Linked DNA regions of Sus scrofa. Each later gene encodes a partner of the first gene's protein in a complex. Links are inferred from orthologs where the notes say so. Each region holds a gene or a part of one and is shown in the gene's direction. Other genes may lie near its edges.

Region 1 (7,105 bases):
GGATAGGGAGGGAACACAAGAGGATGCTGGCTGAGGAGGATGAGATTTGCTCCAGACATTGTGAAAGCGAAGGTCTTTCCCAAGCCAAAGACCCCTAGTCTGATGCTCAGAAAGCGGGCTAAGCTAGAGATAAGGACTTGGGAGCCAGCAGCTTCTAGGAGAAACCATGAGATAGATAAGACCACCCAAGGACAGTGGGTAAAGTGAGAATAAGGATAGGATACATCCCTGTGGATTCCAGGCACTTGTGATAAAGGGAAGAATGTGTCCGAGAGACTGCGAAGATGAGGAGAAAGCAGAGATGTGTTCTTAGAAGCTGAGCTGGAAGGAATTTTAGGGAGAAAGGAGTGGCTATTTCTTGATGCCCCTGAGAAGGAAGCATGAGTTAAGGATCCTCAGGTGTTAATTGGATCCGGGGGCTCTGGTTAATTGAATCAGTGCCAGCAATTTCAGTTGAATGGCTTGGAAACGTAAAAGGGGAATAACAAAGGAGAGAAAACTTGTGGACAGTGATGTGAACAAGAAATTGAAATTTGAAAGAATGATATTTTCCAAATAGACATGGCTACTCTTCGTGTTTGCTTCCTGGGAATGCCAGTGAACCTGGAGTTAAGCACCCTCCTTAGAAACCACTGATTTAGTCCAAAGTTCTCAGTATGTTAGTTTCATGGGCCCCACCCTAGAATCACTGAATGTGAGACCTAAGAATTTGCTTTTTTGAGATGATCTATAGGTGCTTCTTTTTCCTTGTAAGGTATAAAAACTGCCCATCTAGAGTTAGTCACTTTCTTTTTCCCACCAACTTGACAAAGATTTTCAAACCACAGGAAAGCCGAGAGGATAATGAACACCCGTGTACCTTTCACATAGATTCACCAACTGTTGACGTTTGATCACATTTGCTTCCTCTTGCCCTTTTTTTCTGAATCATTTAAAATAATATAAAAAAGAATGTTTATATATATATACACACATATATATACATATATATATATAAAACTGAGTCACTTTGCTGTGCAGCAGAAATTGGCACAACATCGTAAATCAACCATAATAAAGAAAATTTTCTTTAAATCTAAGTGCAAACATCATGACATTTATCCCCAAATACTTCAGCATGCATCTGCCAAGAATAGGTATTCTCCTGAATATGCGTACCATTACAAAGCCTAAGAAATTAACAGGTCTCCAGCAAATCCAGTACTCAATCTAAACTCAAACCTCCCCAACTGTTCTAAAGAAATAGTTTTAGCTTTTTTTCCTTACATTTAAGACCCAGGCAGCATTCACACATTTCAGTTGATTGTTAAAGCCTTCATCTGCCTTTTGTTTTTGTGTGTATGTATGTGTGATATTTTCTTTCTTTTTAGAGGCCAGTGCCTCTTGTTCAAAGGCCTGCCAGTGTACTTGTGCACTGTTTTACCTGTGATTAAGTTAAATATTTGGGGCTAGCTATAGATGATCCTATGGTAGGCACTTGATGAGGTTACCTCTTGGCATTGGTGATGCCAAGTTTAGTCATTTGTTGAAGGTGGTGACCATCAAACCAAGTCATCTGTGGAATGAATGACACTTTTTTTTTTTTTTGGTCACTCCTGTCCCCAAAAAAACTGCTATTAAAAAAATAAATAAAAACACAAACTACTGTAGAGGAGTTCCCACTGAGCCACAATGGAAACTCCTCTATAGTAATTTTAAAGAGAGAAAGCTCCTTCTGTCAGCTAATGAATGTAGAAGAAATTAGAAAATTACCATTTTGCCATACTCATTCTCACAAATGAGTCAGGCATGGATCATCATAGGGCTAAGGAGCTGGACATTCATAGGGACTCAAAGCATCACTCTAGAGGAGTTCCCTGGTGGCCTAGCAGCTAAGGATTTGGCATTGTCACTGCTGAGGCTCAGGTTCGATCCCTGGCCTGGGAACTTTTGCATGTAGTGGGCTCGGCCCTAAAAAGACAAAAAATAAAATAAAATTACTATAGGAGTTCCCATCGTAGCTCAGTGGTTAACGAACTAGTATCCATGAGGATGCCAGTTTGATCCCTGGCCTCGTGCAGTGGGTTAAGGATCCAGCGTTGGCTGTGAGCTGTGGTGTAGGTCAAAGATTCGGCTAGGATCCCAAGTTGCTGTTGTTGTGGCTGTGGCATAGGCCAGCAGCTGCAGCTCCAATTTGACCCTAGCCTGAGAAACTCCATATGCCACGGGTGCAGCCCTAAAAAGCAAAAATAAAATAAAACAATGAAATTACTATAGTAAATAGTAATTTTAAAAATTACTAATATCATTCTTTTTTAACTAATTTATTTTACTATGGTTGATTTGCACCATCATTATTCTTTACTACAGTCAGATTTCTGGCCACTAGGAGCTACTTCAAGGCAGCTTCTGTATCCACTGAACATGATCCAGTTACTCTCAGTAATTATGACGTTTTGGGGAAACTGAAGCCAAAAGAACTAAAATCCAAGATCTCCTAGGCACGGTCAGATGGTCAAATAGTCCTTCTAGTTCTTGAGTTCTCTATCTTCTTCCATCAAACTCCTTTTTTGTCATTCCCACCTTATACTTACCTTCTCGTCCTCTGGCTGTCCATGCCTCTGATAGCAGTTTCATCATCCATCCTTTGTGTTCAGCAAGACTCCAGCTTCTTATTGCTTAATTACTTCCCTCTATGGTTTTCTTTCTGTAAAACGTTGCGAACTGTTCTCCTCTCTGTTTTCCTCAGTCTTTTCCCTCCCAAGTCATTATTTTCTCCCCATTCCTTTCTGACTTTTAACTCCCCTACTGATTCCTCTGAATATCCCACTGATGCCTAATTTTATCACCCCTAGATTTCCCTTGTATTAGTTTTCATTCACGGTCTCCCATTTGAAATGTTTTAGGAGTTCCCTTGGAACTGCAACCACTTGTGTCACTGCTGTGGTTCAGGTTCAGTCCCTGGCCTGGGAATTTTCACATGCTTTAGGCATGGCCAAAAAAATAAAATAAAATAAAAATCTTCCATATGCCAGATTGATTTGATTGCTTTTCCATTTTTGTTAAGCAGAGCCATTATGATTGTCAGTGTGAATGAGCTTTATTGGCTATGGGATGACAAATGCATCCACACTGAGAAATGTAATTATAGCCCAAAGCTGGGAAACCTGATACGTTTGTTAGCTTCTCTGACATAAACAGGGAATCATACAATTCATGCTCCAGTGTTTGGCCAGAGATTACCTGATAGTCTCGTGACCACCTTCCCAGGACCTTGGACTTGCAGTCACCAGCCCAGCCTTTCCTCTCACTTGCCTACTTGATTCCCAGCCTTCACCAACTTTTCTGTCCTCACAGCGCACGATGGTTTCTGCTCCCTGCGACTCCCTTTGCAAAGACCAGGGTTCATATTTCGTTTTCAGGATTGCACATGCACGTTAGCTGGGAAATGTTTTATTTTCCTCAGCAGCCTCTCAAGAGATTGCCATTCATTCTTCTGAGGACTTCTCTATATCCTGAGAGACATGTTCTAATATCGGGCTTTTCTTTTCTTTTCCTTTCTTTTTTGGCCATGCCTGTGGCACGCAGAAGTTCCCGTGCTAGGAATCGAACTCAAGCCACAGCAGTTACAATGCCAAGTTCTTAACCGGTAGACTACCAGGGAACTCCCTTGGGCTTTTCTTTTTTTCTTTTTATGGCTGCACCTGCAGCATATGGAAGTTCCTGGGCTAGGGGTTGAATTGAAGCTACAGCTGCTGGCTTACACCACAGCCACAGTAATGCCAGATCTGAGCCACATCTGAGACCTACACGGGATCCTTAGCCCACTGACAAGGCCAGGGATCGAATCTGCCTCCTCATAGACACTATGTTGAGTTAACTTGCTAAGCCACAGCAGGAACTCCCCTGGGGCTTTTCTTTATCTCCTTTCTGTCCGTATCATCAAGTTTTTCTTCCTTTCTCACTCAGAACCAGGGTTTCCTGACCATAATGGCCTGTGACCTTTCCCCCGTTATTACAAAGGCAATACTGCTTATCAGAGAAAAATCCATAAATACTGATGTGCAAAAAATTATAATGACTAACATTTTGGGTCCTTTTAGTATGAGTTAGGCACTCTACTCATTTAAGACTGACAGCAGCTAGAGAGGTGTGGTTTGTGTTATCTGAATTTTCTCCTTTGCAGTTGAGGAAAATGAGACTTGGGGTTAAGTGACTGGCTTAGGGTCATATGCTACAGAGCTGATTTTCAAACCAGAGCCAAGATTTGTTTATATTACCCTTCCAGAGCATTTTCTGGAAGGGTAATATAGATATATTTTTTTGTTTTGTTTTGGTCTTTTGTCTTTTTAGGGCTGCATCCACGGCATATGGAGATTCCCAGGCTAGGGGTCAAATAGGAGCTGTCGGTGCCGGCTTACACCACAGCCACAGCAACACAGGATCCTAGCCACGTCTGCGACTTATACCACAGCTCACGACAACAAAAGATCCTTAACTCACTCACTGAGCGAGGCCAGGGATCAAACTGGCATCCTCATGGATGTTAGTCGGGTTCATTAACCGCTGAGCCACAATGGGAACTCCCCTCTTTTCTTTTTTAAACGGCTGCACCCACAGCATATGGAAGTTCCTGGGCCAGGGGTTGAATTCAAGCCTCAGCTGTGGCAATGCCGGATCCTCTAACCTAACCCACTGCGTTGGGCTGGGGATCAGACCCGTGTTTTTTGCAGTGACCCGAGCCGATGCAGTCGGATTCTTAACCTACTGTGTGCCACAATGGGAGCTCCCAGAGCTCTCCCATCTACAAATACATGTACACACACACAAAAATACATTTCAACAGCATTCCTTTTAATCAAGTGTCACTCTTTTTCCCCTCCTCTCGGCCCTCTCTCCAGGATCGACGAGAACGTGCTAGGAGCCCAGCTGGACGTTGAGGCCGCCCACTCGGAGATCCTCAAGTACTTCCAGTCGGTCACGTCCAACCGGTGGCTTATGGTCAAAATCTTCCTCATCCTCATTGTCTTCTTCATCATCTTCGTGGTCTTCCTTGCCTGAACCCTCTCCAACGCTGAGGCATTCCGTGGGGGTTTGGAACCCTCCTGGGAGGGCAGGTGGCCAGAGCTGCCACTGAGCCTGTGCAGGGTGCTTGGGAGAAAGGCCCTGTTTCCCTGGAACTGCTAAGAACGGCCACTGCCCCTGATCTCCCACTCCTTGCCTCTGGCCACCCTGTCCTCCCCTCACCATCCTCAGGCCCATGAAACACACGGTTCTGGATTTGGACTCTGCTGTGAAGTGGCTGGAAGGGAGCAGAGGCCAACTGGAGGGCTCTTCGGGGAGGTTGTCTCCACTGGAGATTTTTATAAACCCTCCCCAGCCTTTCTCAACTCTGGCAGCAAGGGGAGATGATGCCCTTCCCCACCTTCCTGAGAGTGAGGAGAGGAAGTGAAACTTCCCCAGGGACCAACTTTCCCATCTGGGTTAAAATTTACCTCTTCCTCTCTTCACCATGTGAGGCAAGGGGCCCTGAGCCCTTTGGCTGCCTACACAACCCCAACTCTGGCTGCAGATGACTCTCAATCTGCCAAATGTGCTGCGGCCCGTTTCCTCCCAATTACAACAAGACTGTCAGCCTCACTAGCCATGTCGTCATTTCGGGGTGGGAGCGTCGAAGGGCCTTGGCAGCAAGTGGAGTGAGCCCACTGCCCAGCATCATAACTAAAAGGGTTGGGCTGATGGCCCTGACGGGCCAGGCTCACTCACTCTGTGCACACAGCTGCCTCCCGCAGGGGGTTTCCAGGTGTAGCAGCACTTAGTTAGCATGGAAACTTCCCTTCAGAGGCCCGTAACAGGATCCCAGCCTGGGTCCCTGATTGACGGCAACTTCCAGGACCATCTCCAGAAGTATTTGGACCTGTCTCATCTGCATGCTCCAACCATTTGGCCCCAAACTTACTTGCGCTGGATGAAGTAGGAGCCCTGCCTGCTGCTAGGAGTGAAGGTGACATGAAGAATCCGTTCCCAGCTCCAGCTGAGGCTCTTGGTCCCCTTGAAGCCCCTCACCACATCCAAGCCAGTCAGAAGAATGAAGGAGTGACCTGCCTGGAACACCCACCCTCCAGGGAGGTTAATATGCTTTCTAGTCCTGACCAGGACCCAGAACCACATCATCCTGCATCACTGGAGTTCCCCCACTTCACACACCCGAAAGGAAGCTCAAGCTGTAGAGACAACAGTCACTATACACTGTGCTGGCCCCAGTACTTTGAGGGGTCCAGGAGAGCCCAGGTCTTTCCTAGCCATGGCATTTTAATATTTCCTCTCCCTTTGGCCTGTGTTCAGCGTGTGGTCAGGCTGGCCTCCTCACTGCCCAGTTGACACAAGACGTGGGTTTAGCATAGCACATCCCGGTGGGTTGGTGGGTGGGTTGGTTTGTGAAGACAGCCAAAGCCTGGCAAATGCCGTTTTTCTCTCCTTTGATTGCAACTCTCTCGGAGGGAATGCATAGATCAGTAGTTATTTCACAAATATATGTTGGGTTCCTGCTGCGTGCGTGCTAAGTATGGTATCCAGTCAGGTGCCGGAGAGAAAAAGCCGTGAATTAATCAAGCCCCTGCTCTCTAGGAGTTTACCGTTAGTTTTCTATTTCATTTTATAGGCGAGGAGACCGAGGCCTAGATCTGCAAGTGTCAAAGGGCTGAGCTGAGACTTGCCCTGGCTGGATCCTTCTAGGTGTCTATGTGCGGTCACTCCCGCTCCTAAGGGCCTGGTCTCCCACTCCTCGGAAGCCCTTCCTGTAGCCCCTCTTCCCTGTTCCTCTCGGAATCCTGGGCTGCAGTAGCCACCTCTCCGCTTCACCGCTGACCCTGGAGGTGCTCCAGCAGAGAGCTACTAGCGGCGGGGTGGATGAAAGCAGGGGGCCGGCGAACCCGCGGTAACTCGGCTTCCCAAGCTCAGGTCCTGGGCGGGGCGTGCAACGCCAAGTCCCGCCCCCGGCTAGTCCGCTCGTCGAATGCGCACGCGCGTCTCCCAGTGGTTCCGCCCATCACCGTGGGACGTCGGCTGCGCGCGACGCGCTGGCCGCATAAATGCGGCGGCATCCGGCGTAGGAGCACTTCAGCCG
Region 2 (6,911 bases), on another chromosome or scaffold:
TGAGGAAACAGTATTGGAAGGTGAGGTTAGATGGGAACCAGGGAGAGGGGTGGGTCATATAGGGCCTCTCAGGCCCTTGGGGAGGGCTTTGACTTTCACCTTGAGGGACTGGAGGAGCCCATTCAAGGCGGTTAAGGCGACAGGCACCTGTAACAGCTCATGCTCTTTGCTCCCTGTACCCATGGGGATGCTGAGGCCCCGAGGGAGCAGGGATCCTCCCAGGGGTGCCCAGCCTCTCTTCTCCCTCCTTAGCATGGGGTCCTGTCCCAGCAATTCGTGGAGCTCATCAACAAGTGCAACTCCATGCAGTCCGAGTACCGGGAGAAGAACGTGGAGCGGATCCGGAGGCAGCTGAAGATCAGTGAGTTGCGGCGCCGGGCCTGCCGGGTCAGGTGACCTGACCAGCGCTGAGCCTGGCCTTTCCCTTCACAGCAAATGCTGGCATGGTGTCTGACGAGGAGCTGGAGCAGATGCTGGACAGCGGGCAGAGCGAGGTGTTTGTGTCCAACGTGAGTGGCCGGCCTCCTTCTGTCCGCTCTGAGTCCCGGCCCTTTTGCATGGAGGGAATCCTGAGGCCCAGAAGGGAATGAAGGAGCCTGCCTGGGATCACTCCTCAGGGCCCTGGCCCCGGTTCTAGGCCGGAGGGCTGCCCCAAGGCTCACCATGAACTTCTTTCTGTTTTTTTCTTAATTGTTATTTCTCCAATACAACTTTTTTTCCTGCTGTATAGCACGGTGACCTGGTTACACGTACATGTACACATTCTATTTTCTCACATTATCAGGCTCCCTCATAAGTGACTAGACACAGTTCCCAGTGCCACACAGCAGGATCTCATTGCTAATCCATTCCAAAGGCAATAGTCTGAATCTATGCGCCCCAAGCGCCCCATCCACCCCACTTCCTCCCCCTCCCCCTCGGCAACCACAAGTCTGTTCTCCAAGTCCATGATTTTCTTTTCTGTGGAAAGGTTCATTTGTGCCATATATTAGCTTCCAGATATAAGTGATATCCTATGGTATTTGTCTTTCTCTTTCTGACTTACTTCACTCAGCATGAGAGTCTACAGTTCCATCCATGTTGCTGCAAATGGCATTATTTCGTTCTTTTTTATGGCTGAGTAGTATTCCATTGTGTATATATACCGCATCTTCCTAATCCAATCATCTGTCGATGGACATTTGGGTTGTTTCCATGTCTTGGCAATTGTGAATTGTGCTGCAGTGAATATGCGGGTACATGTGTTTTTTCTAAGGAAAGTTTTGTCTGGATATATGCCCAAGAGTGGGATTGTGGGGTCATATGGTAGTTCTATGTATAGATATCTAAGGTATCTCCATACTGTTTTCCATAGTGGTTGTACCAGCTTACATGCCCACCAACAGTGCAGGAGGGTTCCTTTTTCTCCACACCCCCTCCAGCATTTGTTATTTGTGGACTTATTAATGATGGCCATTCTGACTGGTGTGAGATGGTATCTCGTGGTAGGTTTGATTTGCATTTCTCTAATAATCAGGGACATTGAGCATTTTTTCATGTGCTTGTTGGCCATCTGTATATCTTCCTTGGAGAAATGTCTGTTCAGATCTTTTGCCCATTTTTCCATTGGGTTGTTGGCTTTTTTGTGGTTGAGTTGTGTAAGTTGCTTATATATTCTAGAGATTAAGCCCTTGTCAGTTGCATCATTTGAAGCTATTTTCTCCCATTCTGTAAGTTGTCTTTTTGTTTTCTTTTTGGTTTTCTTTGCTGTGCAAAAGCTTGTCGGTTTGATTAGGTCCCATTGGTTTATTTTTGCTTTTATTTCTGTTGCTTTGGGAGAAAATAGCCATAAGGTTGATGTCTGAGAATGTTTTGCCTTTGTTCTCTTCCAGGAGTTTGATGGTGTCTTGTCTTATATTTAAGTCTTTAAGCCATTTTGAGTTTACTTTCATGCATCACCATGAACTTCTGAGCCTATGGCTGGTTTCCCTGTGACCTCTCCCTCCACCCCTGTCCACTCTCCAGATACTGAAGGACACACAGGTGACTCGACAGGCTCTAAATGAGATCTCGGCCCGGCACAGCGAGATCCAGCAGCTCGAGCGCAGTATCCGTGAACTTCATGAGATCTTCACTTTTCTGGCTACGGAGGTGGAGATGCAGGTGGGCGCCCCAGGCAGCCGGCTGGGCTTGATCCTGCCCCCACATGTGAGACCTTGCTCAACCAGAACCCCTGCTGTGACTGTCCGCCCACCTCCACTCTTAGCCTCTCTCTGCGAGGCTTCTGTTCTCCTCCAGACTGGCCTGTACTTCCATCTTAGCTGTGCCTCCAAATTGCGTCCTCCTCAGGAGTTCCCCCTGGGGCTTAGCGATAATGAACCCAGCTAGTATCCATGCGGATGTGGGTTCGATCCCTAGCCTCGCTCCATGGGTCAAGGATCTGGCAATGCTGTGAGCTGTGGTGTAGGTTGCAGATGCGGCTCGGATCCTGCATCGCTTTGGCTGTGGCGTAGGCCGGCAGCTGCAGCTCCAATTCATCCCCTAGCCTGGGAACTTCCATATGCTATGGGTGCAGCCCTAAAAAGAAAAAAAAAAAAAGAAAGAAAGAAAAGAAAAATCGTATCCTCCTCAACAGCTACCCAGATGGCCACTCTTCTGTGCACTGCACCCCAGTCCTCAAACTTGAGCCCACCTCGGGCATGGCCCCAACTTTGGCTCCCCCTCCACTAACAGACTCCACCCTTATACCTCTGAGAGCACCTGAACTGCCCCCCAGAGGACCTGCCTCCCAGAACTTGCACAAGCATGGGGCGGGCGATGGTGTTCTTCTCCCAGCCCTGGTCTATAAGAGAAGGGGTGCTTCCAACCCCGTCCAGAAGGAGCTCTTACCCCGTGAGTGCTGGAGCCATTGCTCTTCCCAGGGAAGAGATTTTGCTCAGCAGGAGCACCAGGACCTGAAGGCTGGCAGTGCCGGGAGGAGACAGGGATCAGGGAGCTTCACAGCAGCTGGGAGTCAGGCCTAGAACAGGTGAATTCAGACTGATTTGTGAGGGGACAGAAGCTTGCCCTCCATGAAAAGATATGAGCCATTAAAGGCACCCAGCTCCCAGCCAGCCCTGCCAGTAGAGGCTATAGGTGGCAAGGGAGCAGGGCAGAAGGGACCACAAGGTAGAAGGGGGCTTGGAAGCCCCCTTTGGAGTGTGAACTTCGGCCAGATGTGGTCCTGCCTCCACTTTTGTTTTTTGTTTTGTCTTTTTAGGGCCGCACCCAGGGCATATGGAAGTTCCCAGGCTAAGGGCTGAATCAGAGGTGCAGCTGCCAGCCTACACCACAGCCACAGCAACACCAGATCTGAGCTGCATCTGTGACCTACACCACAGCTCACGGCAACGCCGGATCCTTAATCCACTGAGCGAGGCCAGGGATCGAACCCGCATCCTCTGGGTACGAATCAGGTTCTTAACCCGCTGAGTCACAATGGGAACTTCTCCATGCCTTTGTTAGTGCCCTGTTTTCAGCCAGGAACGCCCTTCAGTCTTGGGGCTGTGGTGGGCAGACAGAGGAGCTGCTGGGCCTCCACCCCGAGTCCCTCCTACCCGCCTGAACCCTCCCTCCTCTTCTGAGCAGGGGGAGATGATCAACCGAATCGAGAAGAACATTCTGAGCTCAGCAGACTATGTGGAACGTGGGCAGGAACACGTCAAGATGGCCCTGGAGAACCAGAAGAAGGCAAGGAAGGTGAGCGTCCCGCCACCCACTCCCCTGCCCTGGGGGGGGCTCTCTCCCCCCGCCCCCCGAGAGTTTCCCCGACCATCCCCCCTCCTCCTCTCCTACAGAAGAAAGTCTTTATCGCCATCTGTTTGTCCGTCACTCTCCTTATCCTGGTGGTCATCATTAGCGTCTCCATTCTGGTGTGACAGCATCGTGGATTCTCGGTGAGATTCTGTGGGGCCCCCCCAGCCTGCCCCCTCCCTGCCCCCAGCCTCTCCTCCTCCCCTCAGACCCTCTTCTCCCTCCTTCCCTTGCAGGCGCTAAGAGCACCAGGGACCCAGGGGCTGCCTTCCCTCCCCGAAGCCAGGGGTGGGCAGGACAGAGCCTCCAGCCCGACCCCTTCCTCACACTGGCCAGAGGGGCAGACGGTTCTTCCAGGGCCGGCAGCCACTCATCCATGGGGCCTCCCCCCCTTGGGCCACCATGCCTGGGGGCAGGCCTGCCGTGTCCTCTTTGGCTGGGACCCGTGGTTTTGTAAGAAATTAAAAAAAAAAAAAAAAAAGTTTGGAGAATCTCCTTTGCACATGTGTTGCTGAAAAGGCTGGTCCAGGGCCTCCAGGTCTCCACCGCCTTCCACCTCCTGGCCACCCTTGCGGACAGGCCCAGCCCAGGTAGCCTCAGATCAGACTGTCCTGGGTGCTGTGGCCATGCCAGCCTGCCACTGCCCTTCTACTCTCCCATGAGAACAGGTGGGGCCGGGAGGGGGTAACACCCACATCAACCCACTGTCCCTGGGGAAAGACCCCGTGACCACCTAACCCCACAGCAGCGAGGCTGGGCCAGGCCAGGCTGGACACGGGTGAGCTGAGTGTGTGTGTGTGGCATCTGAGGGCGCTGCTGAGGCCAAGAAGAGGCACTGTGACAAATAATTGCCTCTGTTAATTTTTTTTTTTTTTTTTCCATTTCTAGGGCCACTCCCACGGCATATGGAGGTTCCCAGGCTAGGGGTCTAATTGGAGCTGTAGCTGCCAGTCTACACCACACCACAGCAATGCAGGATCCGAGCCGCGTCTGCCACCTACACCACAGCTCACGGCAACACCAGATCCTTAACCCACTGAGTGAGGCCAGGGATCGAACTTGCAACCTCATGGTTCCTAGTTGGATTTGTTATTCACTGAGCCATGTCGGGAACTCCTTTTTTTTTTTTTTTTTTTTTTTTTTTTTTGGTCTTACTTTTTTTTCTTTTCTTTTTAGGGCTGCACCTGAAGCACATGGAAGTTCTCAGGCTAGGGGCTGAATCGGAGCTGCAGCTGCTGGCCTACGCCACAGCCATGGCAATGCCCGATCTTTAACCCACTGAATGAGGCCAGGGATTGAACCACATCCTCGTGGATATACTAGTCAGGTTTGTTACTGCTGAGCTACACTGGGAACATGGTTGTTGGCAGGGAGGGCCTGTCTCGGAGGTGGTGATATTTGAGTGTGGTGCTTAATGAGGAGGGGAAGAATCAGGGAAGAGGTTGCCAGGCAGAGGGTTCAGGAGGCCAGGCCCTGTGCCCAGAAAAAGCATTGCCTTTTAGATAGGAGTTCAGGCTAATGAGCCATCCACCCTGGATCAGCTCACCTTGTTTCCCAGGGGTCTTGTGGCTGAAGAGGATAGAGGAGGCAGGGGAGCCTGACCCCAGGTTTCCATAACTCACCTGAGCTCCGGACTTTAAATTTCGAAGAGTTGCAGGTGCCCTGCCTAGTTCTGGAGCTGGATGTGCTGCCAGTCTTCAGACCCCTGGTTTCAGGAAGCTGGCTTCTGGCTCCTAAGCCTGGTAGTGGTAGGGCGGCGCCTGACCCCGACCAAAGTCTGGGGGCCGGGTTCCAGCCGCCCAGTCCCATCCCACTTTCGATCCCACAGGTTGCCGCTGCTTCTCCTGGCTGCCCAGCGCGCATCGGGCCGCAATATCGCTTGCATCGGGTACACACGTGGGTGCCAGGCTGATGAGAGTCCAGGAAGGGCTGGCCACGTGCTGTCTTTGGTGCAGACTGGGACCCAGCCCCTGCACTCGGGTTGGAGGAGGGGTGAGAGAGAGAGAGAGAGAGAGAGAGAGAGAGAGAGAGAGAGTCGCAGGGGCGCGCTGCCACTAGGCCAGCTCAGCCTCCATTCGCGGCTGGGCGCCCGCCTACAGCGCCTCCCTGTGGACGTGTTGCACCGTTGCATGGTGCCTGCGCGAAGTCCGAGGGTACACTGTACGGGGCGGGGCGTGCCAGAGGGGGTGTTGGTGACCCGGTCGCCACCTGGAAAATGATTGGCCAGTGGACCTAAATGTTGTTCCTGAAGAGCATCAGGATTGGTCCTTAGGGCGTCCTGAAGGAGTGAGCAATTAGAGGACGCTGATATGGGCGGGGCCTCAGAGCCTCTGCACAGACGCACCGGAATGCGATTGGATTGCAGAGCGCCAGGGCCTTGATCAAAACTCCAAGAGGCGGGAGGCGGCCAGCGGTGAGAGCAGGTCACGGGTAGGGAGTCAGGACCTCGCGTGAGAAGGCAGGGCGGGTTCCTGCTCCCTCGCTGCCTGAAAAGTCTGGGAAGGTACCCACGCCTTCGTCCTGCCTGAGATCATTTGTCCTGTGCACAGAGGAAACTAGACGCCTGTAGGAAGGAGCCCCTCATTCTCAGCAACGTGCAAACAATCTGGATGTCCAGCCAATGGTGAAACTGCCAGACCGGATGGATCCTGCGATGATGGAAGATTCAGACACCAGGCCTCTGGGCTTCTCTGATTCTCCATCTCTTCCCCTGAGACCGGCTTCTTCAGTGGAATTCTATCCTGTTGGTCGCCTTGATCCACCCCCTCACCTTTTTGCCTTCAGAATCAAACTACGCAATCCGTGACACCTACTGGGATCTGATAGAGACCGTCAGACCGAGGTGGAAACTATGCCACATCTATGCAGCTGGGTGTCCGTGTGCAGGATGTGCCTTCTGCTTGGCAGTGCTGGACAGCGCCACCCCTGAAAGGCTGCTTACCTGACTCACCGAGGACGCTGTCCAGAACCTCCTGGAAGAGGTGGCTAGATGGCCAAGTGAGAGCACGTTTGCCAGGCTCAGTAATTTGAGCTTTTCCCATTTGTTGTAGAGACCATGGAAGGTTTTTAAACAGGTGAGTGGCAAGTTTGGAGCAGATTTAGCAGACGAGTGGACCTGTGCACTGGAGGTTTCTCAGGCT
Region 3 (7,629 bases), about 8.9 Mb from region 1:
ACCACAGTGTTCAAGGTCCAGTGGCACATTCTGTCCTGAGCTCACAATTCTTGTCCTAGCTGTGTGTTCTAAGTGCTGCAGCTCTGTGGAAACACACCAATGCCTGGTCCCACCCAGTTGGATGAAAACTCTCTCTTTAGGGCTGGAAACCACCATATAGACCTGAGAGCAGACGCCCGCCCCGGTGTGCCCAACAGGCACCACCCTCACCCGTGGAACTCCTCTGTGCGGTCTCCAGCAGCAGTGACCATCACACAGTGCCGCAGCAGGGTCCCCAGGTGCCGGTAAAGTGCAGTGTCTTCCTGACCAAAGAGAAAGGGGTGCCTGTGAGAGAAAGTGCCACTCACCCCCACTGCTGCCTGCTGAACATCTACTGCCTGGCCCACGGCCAGACCTCATGCAGGCCATGCATCTCCTCCACCACACCTGGCTGCTCAGCCTCACTTATGTGACCTTAAGAGCACTCTCGTGGTTAGGGACATCAACAGGTCCCTTTGGGATGAAGTCACTCTGTGCTCTCGCCCCCCGCCCCCCGAAGAATCTCCTACAGCCTGCCCCCACACCACACAGCACTCCTGGTGTTGCAAGAGCCAGATACGCGCTCTGATTCCTCGATGCCCTTATACGGAACGGGCACCTCCCTGCCTCCTCCTGACAAGCGCTGCTGTGCAGATGTCCTCCTGGTCCGACACCCAGAAACTTGAGGGTACCTGGCAGAGAGGCAGGTCCCGGAAGCATCCTAGTTGTTAAGCCCAACCGAAGGCTGAGGCCAGCCCTCACCTCATCCACCTCCCTCTTGATGGAGTCGAAGGTGATGTTGAAAAGCACTTTGAGGATCTCCATGGCCCGTTCGGTCTCCTGGGAAGGAAGGAGTTCCGGGGGTCCCTCTCCAGGGGTCATTCCCAGCGTCAGCTCCAGTGCCTCGGTCAGCAGGTGCACTCCCTGCAGCTCCTCAAACAGCTGCCTGCGCACATCAGTGCGAAGCGCCGTTAGCAAGAAGAGGAGGCGCAAGTCAAAGAACTGGACGTCATGCGGGAAGCTGCTCTGGCGGTACAGTCTCACTCGCTCTGCGAGCCTCACCACTAGCCCCGCCTCTGCGGCGAGCACCTGTGCCACGGAGCTGCTCAGCACGAGGTTGCACAGGCACTTAAGGGACTCGAGCACAACATCCATGTCCAGAGTCTCAGGACACGACCCCTTCGAAGCAGAGATGCCAGCATAGCAGGCAAGCGCTTGCAGGCTCTGGCGGCTGGTGAACGAGTCCAGGCAGCTGCGGTCCCTCGACAGGATGCGGATGCTCTGCAGCCAGATGACTCGGCGGGAAGGTGACAAGCCCTGCTCCAGGACTGAGACCAGCAGCTCCGCCAGTCTCTGTGGGCAGGGGAATAGAGCGGTTCCATCAGGCTCCTCTACCTGGGCCACCCGTCCCTGCCCCTTTACCCTTGATAAGCACCCACCTTCCTGTCCTCCTGTTGGGCATCGTCAAACGTGAAGCTCTGGGAGTTCTGCAAACAGACCCAGAAGATTAGGAGGCACAGGTCCACCGAAGCAGAATCCGAGCTCCAAGGCCGCAGACACCGCTCTCAATAGACAGGGCTCCCTTTCCCCACGGCACCCCCAGCAACTCTTCAAAGACTCGGTGCCCCTCCCCGCCGTGCTCGCCAACACCCTCAGCCTTCCGCCACGCTCACCACTCACACCCTCCCCGCCGGCCACGCGCGCGGGACCCACCCAGCCCCACCTCCTCCCTGCGCGTCCCACGTCCATAGCTCCCGCTCACCTCCCGGTTGTAGGCGCGCAGAGCCTCCATAACCACGTCCTCCTCCCCCGTCTCTATAGCATCCACTACCGCCCGAGGCTCCATGGCGCTCCCGGGACCCCGGCCCGAGGAAGCGGAAGGTACCTCGCTCCAAGGCTCTGGGCCCCAGACGGCCCGCCCGGCCCTAGCTCGGCGCGCGGGGGAGGCCGGGAAGGGGCGTGCGCGGCGCCGCGCGGGCGGGGGCCCGGGCTGCGCGCGGCGCCGCGCGGGGCGGGGGCCCGGGCTGCGCGCGGCGCCGCGCGGGGCGGGGGCCCGGGCTGCGCGCGGCGCCGCGCGGGGCGGGGGCCCGGGCTGCGCGCGGCGCCGCGCGGGGCGGGGGCCCGGGCTGCGCGCGGCGCCGCGCGGGGCGGGGGCCCGGGCTGCGCGCGCCTTAAAGTGGAGAGGCCTAGAAGAGCCCTCGGGAATTTAAAGGCTTTGATGTCTAGTCACGTTGCCTTTCAGTGTCCGACTCAGTGGTTATCCGACCACGGGCCTGAATCGCTCCGGCTCCGAGCAGTGAATTCCCTACGGGAGAGGGCCTTAGCTTCTCACCCCGCTATTACACGCACACTACACCCCTCTTGATGTACAGAACGAATGAGATGTTCCGAGGAAAGACGAAGTGGAAAGGACTTTGCAGCCCCGGGACCACTTTGTTTATTAAGCAGGCGTTTGAGGGCCTACAGCATGCAAGGAACCAGGATGTGGGTGAACAGAACCCACAGGTCCTTGCCTTCGTGGAGCTTATATTGCAGAGGTGAAAACAAAAACGGGAAAACGGGAAGACTTTAAGCAGTCATAGTGCTGTGATTGAAAAAGGGGCCTGATGGGCTCCAAGGGGATTTGAATAAGTGTCGCTTTTGCTGAGACCAGAGGAAGAAGTGAGCCAGGAAGGGATGTGGGGGAAGTTCATTCAAGGCCGAAGGAGCCGGCAGAGTAAAGGTGGGAATGGCCGTTGTAGGAGAAAGAGATCATTGTTGGGGCTGAGAGACAGGGGAGAGTGGGGAGGGAAGGTCCAGGTCAGGATGAAGGCAAAGCCTGATCATGTGCAGGGACTTCCTGGCTGTGTAAGCAGACACATCTTCTGGCCTGGACCCAGTTCCCTCTTTTGAAAAGCAGAGATGATAAAAGGTCCCATTTCGGTGGGTTGTCAGCACTAAACGACACAGAGTGAATGCTCCATTACAGTGGGTGAATAACATATACTCCACCCACTGCGCAACAAGCCTTTGTTGAGCATCTATTTTGTGCCAGACCCCTTGTCAGTGCCCGGGTGCAAGGTCGCAGCACCGGCTCCTCCTGCCCCTAACTCCCCTCACGCTCCCACTCTTCTTCCTGATTTCCCGTTTTCCTTCAAGTGCTTCATCCCTGAGATTTTTGCAGCGCTCGCTTGTTCCAGGCACTGATCCCCTCTTTATCCCGCCGGCAGCATCTGGAGCGTGCTTCACACCGAGTCCTCGCCTTAACCGCACCGCAGCCGGGCGGGCCTCGGACCCCGGGCCGTGTCGCCGCGAGGAGCCTCTCTCGCCTGAGAAAGGGCCGTGAGCTCTTTCCAGTTAGGATTTGACACCGCCTTCGGCAGGAATGGCCGCGGAATTGTCTGTCGGCACCATGATGCTATTAAAAACGATAACCTTCCAGCAGTCCCAGGAGCGAACCAGCGGCCCTGTTCACAAGGCAGGCGGTGGAGGAAACGTCAGTTCTTCTCCGTCCAGCCCGCTCGCCCGCTCGGCCGGAAGTTGGAGGGCCCCGGGCGGAAGGGGCGGGACGGGAAGTCCCTCCCCGACGGCTGCGCCACATCCCGGGAGGCTGTAGCTCTGCGGGTCCGTGCTGGGCGCGATGGCGGACTGGGCTCGGGGTGAGCATTGGGGAGCGGAGGCAGGTGGCGGCGGTGCTGGAACCGATGCCGCTGCCTGCAGGAGTCGCTTTCGCCCGCCCCCGCCTCTCTGGGTGGCTTTGGCCGGCAGACACTGAGAACAGGCGGAGCCAGGGCGGCGTGGGTGGGGCCCTCGGGCGGTCTTGCCCGGCTTCTCGGTGAAGCTGCGGGGTCCGGATGTCCGCTGTCCCCACCCCTTCCGCCCTCGTGAGACTGTTCTGCACGGGACCTCAGCCAGACGGGCTGGTCGACTGTTCCGGAGGCCAGCCCCAAGGAGTGAGGGCTGCGCGTGATGGCCCAAGAAGGCCTCGTACCGACTGGGGCTGGGAGTGGCCCACTTGCCCTCTGGGAACCCCTGTTCTTATCTGCGAAGTGGGATGCTGATGCTTGTTTCCGCTGGGCTTGCGGCATTTACAGATTTAATGGATGAAAGCGGTTGGTAGGATGCTAACATCTCGTGGCATCTTTACACATCCATGATTTCTAGGGTTGTGATCCTATTAGATGAGCCTCCCTGAGACATCTGGCCCACGGCAAATCTGGCCTGTGAACTTGGGGAGGCAGTTCTCATCTACTTGATAGGATGGTTATACCAAGTCAAGTCATAAGTCCCAGCCCCTGTCCTGGGCCAGGTCTCAGCAACCACTGCTCTGGGTGTTGTGTAAGGCTCTGTGTAGGATGCAGAGCTGAGCAGATCTATGCCCTGCTCGTGAGATCGACCTCCCCTTCTGTTCATGACTTTTTCCTAAGTCCTTGCCAGAGTTTACTGGTTTTCTCTGAGAACAGGTCCCCTCTACGTCGCTGGTGACATCTGGGCTGACATACCAGTCCATCCAGAGGGGATGGTACAGGTTTTGTCACAGAGTATCAGAAGGTGCTGCCCACCCATCCGGGCTTGGATGCCTACACAGAACAAGTGCTCTCGCACGCTGTCCTTCACGCGGCTGTCTCGTGTGTGAAGTTCACGCTTTGGACCCTGGGTTAGGGCAGGACCTGTTCAGCAGACACAGGAAAGCCCAGTCCCCCTGGACTAGATGGAATTGGAGTGAGAGCCCTGAGGGCAGAGGTCAAGAGGGTGCGCGTGGGTGGGTGCACACTCTCACCCCCTCTCTGTCTCTTCTCACAGCTCAGAGCCCCGGCGCTGTGGAGGAGATTCTAGACCGGGAGAACAAGCGGATGGCGGACACCTTGGCCTCCAAGGTCACCAGGCTCAAGTCGGTCAGTGGTGGTCCTCTCCTTTCACCTCCATCTGGCCTTCTGGAGGAGGGCGTCAGAGGGAGGGTGGAGGCCTGGAAGGGGTCCAGATAGTTCTCTCTTTGTCCCGTACATGGCAGCACTCACCTGTGCTGGCCCAGGTGACATTTGGATCTCCTGACCTCTGCTGATGCCGTGGGGGGTTAGGAACAGTCCGTTATTTTTGTCCTGGCCTGACCCTGTCCCCTCTGTGTCCTGAGCAGCTGGCCTTGGACATTGATAGGGATGTGGAGGACCAGAACCGGTACCTGGACGGCATGGTAAGGGTCTGCGGTGTTCTCGGCCCCACGTTACCTGCCCTGCAGGCACCCCCCCCCCCCCCCCCGCGTGTGTGTGCTGTGGAGTTGCTGCCCCGTGTGACAATGCTAGGATTCCTCCCTTAGGACTCGGATTTCACGAGTGTGACGGGCCTCCTCACGGGGAGTGTGAAGCGCTTTTCCACAATGGCGAGATCTGGGCGAGACAACCGGAAGCTTCTCTGTGGTGTGGCCATGGGCCTGATCGTGGTCTTCTTCATCCTCTCCTACCTCCTGTCAAGGGCAAGGACGTGAGCCAGTGGGAACTGGTTTCTGTAGGTACCTGGGACAACCAGGGTCTTCCTCTGCCTTGTGTCCTGGGCTCCAGAAGATCTACCTACAAAATACCCCTTCGAAGTGATGAGCATGGCTTAGGAATCTTTTTCCTGTGTGGCTGGGAGCCTCTGACCCAGTAAGCTCATGTTAGCTGGTCCCATGTGTGCAAGGGGCCCATCCCCATTGGGTAACCAAGGCCCAGCTTCCTCTGCCATCTTGGGTGCTAGAAGCCCTAGCAGAGCCAGGTTGGAGCAGAGCAGCTGGGAATCCTGGACGTGACCACCTGTGACCAGCAGCCCTTCCCCCAGCCCTCAGGGTTCTGATGTATTGAGGCTTCTCTGCTTGGTCTTGGTCTGGATAAGGCCACGTCTGGTATTCGAGGTGCCCAGAGCCGACACAGGAAGGGGTGCGACTGTGAACCTCGAATCATTGCTGTCACTTTCAGCCAAGGGTCCTCAAACCAGAGATGGCCGTTGCTCCTGGCCAGGGCTGCCGGGCACTGGTGGACCAGCAAGAGTCAAGGGTCCTGCCGAGAGGTGTCTGCCTGCCGTCCAACCCCATGGCTGGAGCCCGACCCTCAGGGAAGGGCAGTGGCCATGCGTGGAGAAGTGAACTGCAGCATTGGCTGAAGACGCGGGCCCAGGTCCTCCTGGTCTCCCTGTGTCCAGGAGCAGAAACTGACCTTTTCTCAGGATTCAGGGTCTGTCCAGCACCGAGACACGTTTCCAGGAGCCCAGATCTCTAGAAAGAGGCTCATCTGGCATGTCAGAGTCAGGCAGGGTGTGAGCAGGGGCCTCTGTGGGTACAGCCTGGAGGCTTCCAGGTAACAGCTTTTCATAGGATCTGTAGGTCGCTTTTTGAGGGTCCGCGGACAGTTTCCACCGAGTCTGGCCCTTCCACCTACAGTATCTGCCCATCTCTCCTTGGGCCCTCAGTGCCCACTGGTCAGTCTCCTGCTCACACAAGGTGAACTGCAGTTTCTTCCAAACCAATGGGTCTTTCTACCCCACTGTGAGATCTCAGTGTCTTCCCATGAAAACACCTGTAAGAAACGAGTCATCAGCTCTGTCCTTCCCGTCTTTTGTTCCAGTTCTCTGTCTTCCTGGTCACTCCCCTTCACTCTCTGAGGGCTACCGGCTCACCGGCCATCTTCACACATACACATGTGGTCATATGTCAGCCACAGCCTGTGCCTCTCAACTCCTGCCACCCCACCCTGCTCTGGTCTCTGGCCCTGGGCACCTCACCTTCTGGCCCTGCTGCTCCTGCTCCTCCTCTCTCTCTCCTTTGTTCTCCACCGAGCAGGCCTGGCTTGTCTCACACTCACCATAATGCCCTTCTCTTTTCCACTGCGCCTGGTTGGGCCTCAGCCTTCTGGAAGGGGAGCGTGCTACCTTCTCATTTCCGAGTGCTCTGTTCTTACTGCCTCCATCCCTCCAGTGTGTGCTTGTTTCTCACTCGGTGAGGTCCGCTTCCTTGCCTCCATGGCTTCGACTCAGCCGTCAGCTCATCTCATGTTGAAATTTGTCACAGGGACGTGCCTACTGTTCATGAAGCTCAGCAGCTGCTGCCGTGTCGTGTTTCCATCGGGTCACCACAGGCACGGCAGACACATCAGACCTGAGTGTGGCAGCCGCCTGTTCTGGGCCTGCTAACCTGGCTTCCTGAGAATATGGCTCAGCCATGGCTGTTGCTCCCCCCAGGATGCTCTTACCTGCTGTGCCCACTCGTCTTGCCAGTGCAGACCAGGAATTGAGGATTTGCCTTTCAGAATGACTGTCTCAAGAAGTGCTCTGCCCCCTCCGAGACCTCTGGTTGCTGTGTTCTCTCCTTGGGTCCCCACCTCTGCCTCCCCACTTCATTTCCATGGCTCTTGGCAGCTCTTCCAGCTATTTTGGGGTCTGGGTTTTTGTCTCTGTCTGGTTTACTTTTTTGTTGCATTAGGCTGAGTTCCTGAATGCTGCTGCCACCACGTCGGCAGGGTTTTCTGTGGGGCCTGCACCCTTCTGCTCAGCCCTGTGCACTCAGCACCTCCTCCTGTGGATAAGTGGGGTTTGCTAAGTGGCCCTTCAGACTAAAACAGAAGAGGCCTTGGAGTCCTCTGTGCCAAGGGAGGGCCCCAAGTCAAG
Region 4 (7,688 bases), on another chromosome or scaffold:
CCAACTCGTATCCATGAGGATACAGGTTCTATCTCTTGGCCTCACTTAACGGGTTAAGGATCCGGTGTTGCCATGAGTTGTGGTATAGGTCACAGACGAGGCTCAGATCTGGCACTCCTGAGGCTGTGGCATAGACTAACAGCTGCAGCTCCCTTTCGAGCCCTAGCCTTGGAACGTCCATATGCCTCAGGTGCAACCCTAAAAAGCAAAAACAAAACAAAACACTAGGACATGTGGGGAATTCCTTTGAACCCATGTGAGCATGGAAGGCCTTTCTAATGGGATCTCAAATCTAGGAGTCATAAATGAAGATTAACAAATTATATATGAAACAGAAATAAAAAATTTCAAATCTTGAAGGTCCAAAATACTTAAACGGGAGTTCCCATCATGGCTCAGTGGTTAATGAATCCGACTAGGAACCATGAGGTTTCAGGTTCGATCCCTGGCCTTGCTCAGTGGGTTAAGCATCCGGCATTGCCGTGAGCTGTGGTGTAGGTCGCAGACGTGGCTCAGATCCCGCATTGCTGTGGCTACAGCTCCGATTGGCCCCCTAGCCTGGGAACTCCATGTGCCACAGGAGCAGCCCTAGAAAAGGCAAAAAGACAAAAAACAAACAAAAAAAAACCCAAAATACTTAAACGAAGTCAAAATTCTGTAGCTTAAGAGGCAAAGCGGAGTTCCTGTCGTGGCGCAGTGGTTAACGAATCCGACTAGGAACCATGAGGTTGCGGGTTCGGTCCCTGCCCTTGCTCAGTGGGTTAAGGATCCGGCGTTGCCGTGAGCTGTGGTGTAGGTTGCAGACGTGGCTCGGATCCTGCGGTGCTGTGGCTCTGGCGTAGGCCGGCGGCTACAGCTCCGATTAGACCCCTAGCCTGGGAACCTCCATGTGCCGTGGGAGCAGCCCAAAGAAATAGCAAAAAGACAAAAAAAAAAAAAAAAAAAAGAGGCAAAGCTTATCTGTAGGAACAAATCCTCCTAATGAATAAAGAGCTCCTGGGAATGGATAGGCAAAAGACCAACAACCTAATAGAAAAACAGTAAATACAAATAGTTCTCAACCTTATTCATGATAAGAGAAATGCAAATTAAAAGGTGGCATTTTTCACTTGATCCAATTGGCAAAAATCCCAGTGTTTGTTATCACACCATGTGGGTGAGGCCATGAGAAAGCGGGCGTTCATACCACATCGCTGGTGGGAGTGTAAATTGATATAACCTCTAAGAAAAGCAATGCAGTTGTATGTATTAGAATTTTGAAATGCATGTAACCTTCGACCTAGCCATTCCATTGCGCTGGGCAAGTCATTATTCTCTCTGTGCCTGTTTCTTTATCTGTAGGAAGTGGATAATTCTACCTCAGGGCTGTTGTGAAAGAATGATACACATAAAGCACTTCATATAAAGTTCCTGGCACAAGGGAAGAGTGCCACAAATGTCAGTAATATAATAATAGCGGCCAATGTGCTTTGCATTCTTAGCATGTGCCACATTACTACATTGTGCTTGGTGCTTTTTATGTATGACTTCATGTAGCTGTGATCTCCACCAGCTAGCCTCTGAGGAGGCTGAAGTACCGAGAGGGGAAGCCTGCCTTAACCCTCACGTGGCCTCTCTATTAGATGCAGTGGAATAATGAAGGCCTGGAGGGAGGGGGTGTGGAACACTGGAGGAATACAGATGTGGGAGCACGCAGCTCCCCCCTTATTCGACACTATTCAAGGGGCCATATTTGGTTTTTGAGGGAAGGAAGATAGGGCTTTCACTTAAGGCTCTGCCACTTTTAATTTGGGCAACCTTGGGGCAAGGATGTTTTGTTCTGTTTTTGTCTTTTTTGTCTTTTCTAGGGCCGTACCCACGGCATGTGGAGGTTCCCAGGGTAGAGGTCTAACTGGACCCCTCATCGGTTCCCAGACCGCAGCCTACACCAGAGCCACAGCAACACCAGATCTGAGCCTCGTCTGCGACCTACACAACAGCCCACTGCAATGCCAGATCCTTAACCCACAGAGCAAAGCCAGAGATCAAATTCAAAACCTCATGGTTCCTAGTCGGATTCGTTAACCACTGAGCCACGACGGGAACTCGTTTTTTGTTTTGTTTTGATCTGGCCTTAGTCCAACTCCCGAACTGTGAAACTGGGTTATTACCTATTTCAAGGGTGGTTGTGAGGCTAAAGGGCAACAGCTGACACTCAGTTTTTCCCAGTCTATGATTGCAGAACAAAGGTGAATGGGGTGAGGGCAAGTGGGGAAAAGCATTCTAAGAAGGAGAAAAGCACATTCCACAACTACAGATCCAGACTTCCCATTTGCTCAGGGTGTTAAGCATCCAGCACTGTCACTGCAATGGCTGGGGTTGCTGCTCCGGCAAAGGTTCAATCCCTGGCCCAGGAACTTCCACATGTCCCAGGCACAGCCAAAGAGAAACCACCCAAAAAACAAAACAAAAACCCCACAACTACGGACCCAAAAAGAGCTTGAAGAATGCAAGGGGGGCGGGGGCGCTGGGTGGGGTAGCTGATGGTCTTGAGGGCCAAGTTAAGAAACTTGGACTATTTTATAAGAAAAATAAAGTGAAAGACTCTCTGTCTGTTGAGAGAGAGACAACAGCCAGGTTGTTATTTCCATCAAAACTACTCCAGCCAGGTAAATTATTTAATAAATCTAATTGTACACAAAAGGGAACCGCCAGGAGCAGAGAAGGGGTATAAACTGGAATGTGACTTACCAGTTGCGCATTTTAGACGCAAAGATCCCTAGCACTCAAGCTGGACTAACAGAAGATTCCCTAGGGACTTGCCTTGAATTTCGTATATTTAAAAAAGTGTAACAACGTTTGTCATTTTTTTCTTTCATTCCACAATTTATATTCACTGTAGAAAATATGAAAATACAAGAAAGTTTAAAAAAGTGTAAACAATTGTTAATTATACCTTTCAGAGATATCCCAGTTGATACTTTTCTTCCAGCGGTTCCCCCCACCCCCCGCCCCCATGCAAAAAACCCCGCATTCTTTAGAGTGGCTGATGGGCGGAGTATGCGGAGGGATCACCGTTAAAGCGTTCTCGATAATACCCTCGGCTCTCGCTCTCGCTCTCGCTCTCTCTCTCTCTCTCTCTCTCTCTTAACTAGATCCACACCAACAGGCCGACTGAGTGCGCGCCCACGTGTCAGGGAAAGTCCCCACCACTGCGCCGCCGCCCTCGCTCGCCGCAGGCCGGTCTTTAGGGGGCGCTGCCCCAAGGCCCGGCCGGGAAGGAAGGGAGGCCGGGAGAAAACGCGTTGGAACTTGGGCCCCGCGGCTGTCCGTAGTCAGCATTCCCCAACATGGCGGCTCCCCAGGATGTCCACGTACGGATCTGTAACCAAGAGATTGTTAAATTCGACCTGGAAGTGAAGGCGCTTATTCAGGTACTAATTCCCAGGACCCCCAATGGGGACCAGCGGCCCGAAACCCAAGTGGTTTTGGTTTTCTTTCAGCTCGGCGGTCTCACTGCTGAGCTTTCCCCATCTGGTCAAGTCTCCGAGGTCGCTGGCCCCGCCCCCTTTTCCTAGCTGCTCCCCTTTTGGTCCCGTTCCCTTCATCCCCTGGACTCTTCTCCTTGATCCTTCTTCCGGCTCCCGTTGGCTCGCCCTCTCCAAGGCCTCTCCTCTCCCTCTCCCTTCCCCAGCCTCCGCCTCAGGCCTGGCTACCTTTTTGTGGCCCCTGCCCCACTCCGGCCGTTTCCTCGCCCTGCCCCAGTCTCCAATTTACCTGTCATCCTGCTTGGCCCTGCCTTCTGACACCGCCCTTTCCATCCTTTGGTAGAGTCCTGGGGGCCGTTAACCCCGGCCCCTGTGGCCAGTTCCGTGGGTCTGATGTCCCGGGTCACCAAAGGCCCCTTGGCGCGGGAGGCACTGGATGAAGTGAACGTAACCTGGACGTTGTGATTTGTAAATTAGGAAATCGAGTCAAGGGCCAAGGCCTGGGTCAGAGGGCAGATAATGGCAAAACTGGGGTCGGACAGGGAAAGTCAGTATAGAAAAAAGACTTGAGTCTACTTCGTTTAACAGATGGGGTAATTGAGGTCCTTTGTTTTAGGCCGTTTGAGGGTAGAAGATAACAATAAACCCCTTGGCATAGGCAAGAGTTAGGAATGTAGAAATGGTTACTTGAGTTTAGCAAAAGGAAACCAAGAGTTTAAAATCTTCATTTGAGGCAGATCGTTTCCATTTACAACAAACGTTACTAAACGTTGGATGTAGACTGAGAATTTGCAGCCAACTGTGGTAAAAGGTGGAGGAAAATAAGGCTCCCCACAGAAGCCAAATGCAAAATAAACCAAATTAATAGTTTATTATATGGAGCAAAGAAGTGTGATTTAATGCATAATCCATAGAACAAGTGAGGCAACTTGATGCAAACAGTTAAACTCTTGAACTTCATGTTTCCGATGTATAAACTACAAACCTCTGGGCCAATTTTAGAAAAATAAGTTGAGGAGTCATAAAACAAACGAAACTGTCTTTTCACATAATCTATATTGCTTAAGCCCTTTTGGGCACTCTCTAGCTCTCTTTGTTCTTGTGATGAGAACAGTTGATCATAGCTAGAGTTAGCGCATTCTTACTGTGTTCCAACTCCTCTGCTAAACCCTTTACTACATACCTGATCTATGAAGTAGGTAATGTTGGGATGAGGAAACTAAGGCACATAGGACTCAGTAACTTTTTCAAGGTAAAATAAAACAGCTTATAATTGCTACAACCAGAATTTGAATGTACATAATATATCCTAGGGCCTGCTTTAAAACCTGGCCCTGGAAATTCTGAATGTCCAGAAGCAAATTCTAAATCTATCTTTGAGCATGTTTATAAACAGTGACTTACAATAGAGGGTTTATAAAATTAGATCAAGAAGTTAATCTTGTCATATAATGCCAAATATTAGCATCCTGACTTTTTTTTTGGTCTTTTTGCTATTTCTTTGGGCCGCTCCCGCGGCATATGGAGGTTCCCAGGCTAGAGGTCCAATCGGAGCTGTAGCCACCGGCCTATGCCAGAGCCACAGCAACATGGGATCCGAGCCGCGTCTGCATCCTACACCACAGCTCACGGCAACGCCGGATCGTTAACTCACTGAGCAAGGGCAGGGACCAAACCCGTAACCTCATGGTTCCTAGTCGGATTCGTTAACCACTGCGCCACGACGGGAACTCCGCATCCTGACTTTTAAGTTGGAACCATGTAACATTACAGTCTAATGTTATAATACGTCAGAGTTCCCATTGTAGCGCAGTGGAAATGAATCCGACTAGGAACCATGAGGTTGTGAGTTCAATCCCTGGCCTCACTCAGTGGGTTAAGGATCTGGCGTTGCTGTGAGCTGTGCTGTAGGTCACAGACGCTGCTCAGATCCTCTGTTGCTGTGACTGTGGGCGTAGGCTGGCAGCTGTAGCTCCCATTGGACCCCTAGCCTGGGAACCTCCATATGCCATAGGAGTGCCCCCCACCATTAAAGTAAAGCTACAGTCTGTCTTTTAGATGTCCATTCCTGTCACAAGTTGCTTTAAGTCTTTCATAATGGCTGAATGGAGTTTTGGTAAACTTCAGGAACTAATAGGTCAAGATAGAGTTGTGTTTCTATCTGTGCTTTTATGTTACTTGCTGAGAAGTTATCTAAAGCGGGATGAGAAAAATGTAAATTACATTGTTTTTGCTTGTGTTGTAGAGGTAAACATCAAAGATCAGGATGAATTTCAGTTAGTAGGCCAAACTTAGTTGTGACCTAAGCCAACTCTCTCACGGTACAGCTGGTGTCGTTTCATTTCATTGCCTTGAGAAAGGCTCCCTCATCTCTTCACTTTTTCCTAGGATATTCGAGATTGTTCAGGACCCTTAAGTGCACTTACGGAACTGAATACTAAAGTGAAAGAAAAATTTCAACAGTTGCGGCACAGAATACAGGTAAGTGTCCGCAGAGCAGGGATGCTGAGACTGGGCAGCATTCATTGTCCTTGGAATTTTTCAACTTGAAGACTCAGAGATCACTTGAATTAACTTTCTTTTCTCTACCCCTCTCTCTAACCCATCCACCTCAATTCATTACAATTATCTGGTAATGGTTTTTTTTTTCATACTGTCACTTTGGCCTCTTCCTCTCTGTTTCTGTGTCTCTAGTCGCATCATATGCTTATGTAACAGTCTTGAATTCAACTAGGGTATATGTGCTGTTTCCAAAATCATTAGAGCAAGGAAAGTAGGTGTTTCTGTGCTGTGCCCTGAGTGAGGGTAAGCTGGTAGCATGGGTCTGTCCATCCCTGGGCGGGTCTTGGGGCACCTGGTCTCCATCCATGTGATGCTGGATTTAGAGACTTGTGCTTTTTATCTGACCTGGTCCCAAATGCCAGCCCTTGTTGCTTAACAGAAGAAGACAGTCTGTTCCAAAGATACTTGAAAAACTGGCAGTTTGGACCCTGAGAAACAGAATGTCCATGTCCTGTGTTGCTTTCTAAGGGATTTTCAAGGGCAGTTTTGCCAGTATGCAGTTTTTGTCAAAGGAGGTCACTCTAGGTTGTCAGCAATGTCACTGAACCTAGCTGGTCTCTTTCCGCCTCCATCTCTAGTACTGATTTAATCATTTTAATTTTTTAAAACTTAACAATATATATTGTAGATCTTTCCATGTCAGTATTAGGAAGTTTCCTTATCCTTTTTTTTTTTTTTGCTTTTTGGGGCTGTACCTGCGGCATATGTAAGTTCCCAGGCTAGGAGTCAAATTGGAGCTATAGCTGCCGGCCTATGCCACAGCAACATGGGATCCAAGCCACATCTTTGATCTACACCATAGCACATGGCAACACTGGATCCTTAACCCACTGAGTGAGGCCAGGGATCAAACCCGCATCTTAATGCATACTAGTCAGGTTCTTAACCCGCTCAGCCACAATGGGAACTTCGTCCTCATTCTTTTTTTTTTTTTTTTTTTTTTTTGGTCTTTTTAGGGCTGTACCCTCAGCATATGGAGGTTCCCAGGCTAAGGGTTAAATCAGAGCTGTGGCCATTTGCCTGCAACACTGGATCCTTAACCCACTGAGTGAGGCCAGGGATTAAACTCCTGTTCTCATGGATACCAGTCGGGTTCGTTACTGCTGAGCTACAATGGGAACTCCCTCATGGAAGTTCTTGAACCACCCACGGAGGATGAATTTGAGCCCCAGATCAGTGTGAGGGTAGCTCTGTGGTTATATATTCTCCAGGGAGATTAATTTTACATCCCTCTAGCCAGACCCCACAGGAAAAAAGGACAAGCTTCCATGTTTTCTCTGTGTGGGTTGACAGACATTTTCTTAGTGCACCTTTTCATGGAGGGTGTATTTTGCAGTCCTAGCTTAGTGGTATTCTCTGTTCCCATTCCCAGCCTCAAATGGACAAAAATGCTTTTTCTGTCCCTACATGGACTTTAAAACCCTGTTTGCTACCAGTCTGCAGTGAAATATGTACAGAGATTGAGAGTAAGCATTTAGAAACAGCAGTGTGATAGTTCTGTCCTATATCAGAGTGGGATTTGTAGGCTCCAGTGTTTGTTTGTTTTGGCTATCCTGTGGCTATGGAGTTCCCAGGTGAGGGATTCGACTCAGAGTTGCAACCTATAACTGTGACCTATGCCACAGCTGCAGCAACGCTGGATCTTTGACCCCCTGAGCC

The links.
Region 2: STX5 (region 1) and STX4 share a complex: the UniProt entries of both Homo sapiens proteins name them as parts of the SNARE complex. The link is inferred for Sus scrofa from reciprocal best matches to the Homo sapiens genes STX5 and STX4.
Region 3: STX5 (region 1) and BET1L share a complex: the UniProt entries of both Homo sapiens proteins name them as parts of the SNARE complex. The link is inferred for Sus scrofa from reciprocal best matches to the Homo sapiens genes STX5 and BET1L.
Region 4: STX5 (region 1) and BNIP1 share a complex: the UniProt entries of both Homo sapiens proteins name them as parts of the SNARE complex. The link is inferred for Sus scrofa from reciprocal best matches to the Homo sapiens genes STX5 and BNIP1.

What each region holds. Positions count from the first base shown.
Region 1 is NC_010444.4:8,962,892-8,969,996, forward strand, and holds the end of STX5 (syntaxin-5), read left to right. Parts: intron 1-4,880; coding exon 4,881-5,040; 3' UTR 5,041-5,619; downstream 5,620-7,105. Other genes in the region: NXF1 (nuclear RNA export factor 1), read left to right, coding at 6,889-7,105. UniProt on the Homo sapiens protein: Mediates endoplasmic reticulum to Golgi transport.
Region 2 is NC_010445.4:17,419,610-17,426,520, reverse strand, and holds the end of STX4 (syntaxin-4), read left to right. Parts: intron 1-252; coding exon 253-361; intron 362-432; coding exon 433-509; intron 510-2,004; coding exon 2,005-2,142; intron 2,143-3,606; coding exon 3,607-3,717; intron 3,718-3,815; coding exon 3,816-3,896; 3' UTR 3,897-3,914; intron 3,915-4,007; 3' UTR 4,008-4,255; downstream 4,256-6,911. UniProt on the Homo sapiens protein: Plasma membrane t-SNARE that mediates docking of transport vesicles. Necessary for the translocation of SLC2A4 from intracellular vesicles to the plasma membrane.
Region 3 is NC_010444.4:26,529-34,157, reverse strand, and holds the start of BET1L (BET1-like protein), read left to right. Parts: upstream 1-3,696; 5' UTR 3,697-4,051; coding exon 4,052-4,109; intron 4,110-4,800; coding exon 4,801-4,892; intron 4,893-5,131; coding exon 5,132-5,188; intron 5,189-5,311; coding exon 5,312-5,479; 3' UTR 5,480-5,499; exon of another isoform or gene 5,500-7,033; 3' UTR 7,034-7,629. Other genes in the region: RIC8A (synembryn-A), read right to left, coding at 211-302, 781-1,371, 1,458-1,505, 1,781-1,864. UniProt on the Homo sapiens protein: Vesicle SNARE required for targeting and fusion of retrograde transport vesicles with the Golgi complex. Required for the integrity of the Golgi complex.
Region 4 is NC_010458.4:51,135,756-51,143,443, reverse strand, and holds the start of BNIP1 (vesicle transport protein SEC20), read left to right. Parts: upstream 1-3,054; 5' UTR 3,055-3,329; coding exon 3,330-3,413; intron 3,414-3,756; exon of another isoform or gene 3,757-4,998; intron 4,999-5,855; coding exon 5,856-5,948; intron 5,949-7,688. UniProt on the Homo sapiens protein: As part of a SNARE complex may be involved in endoplasmic reticulum membranes fusion and be required for the maintenance of endoplasmic reticulum organization. Also plays a role in apoptosis.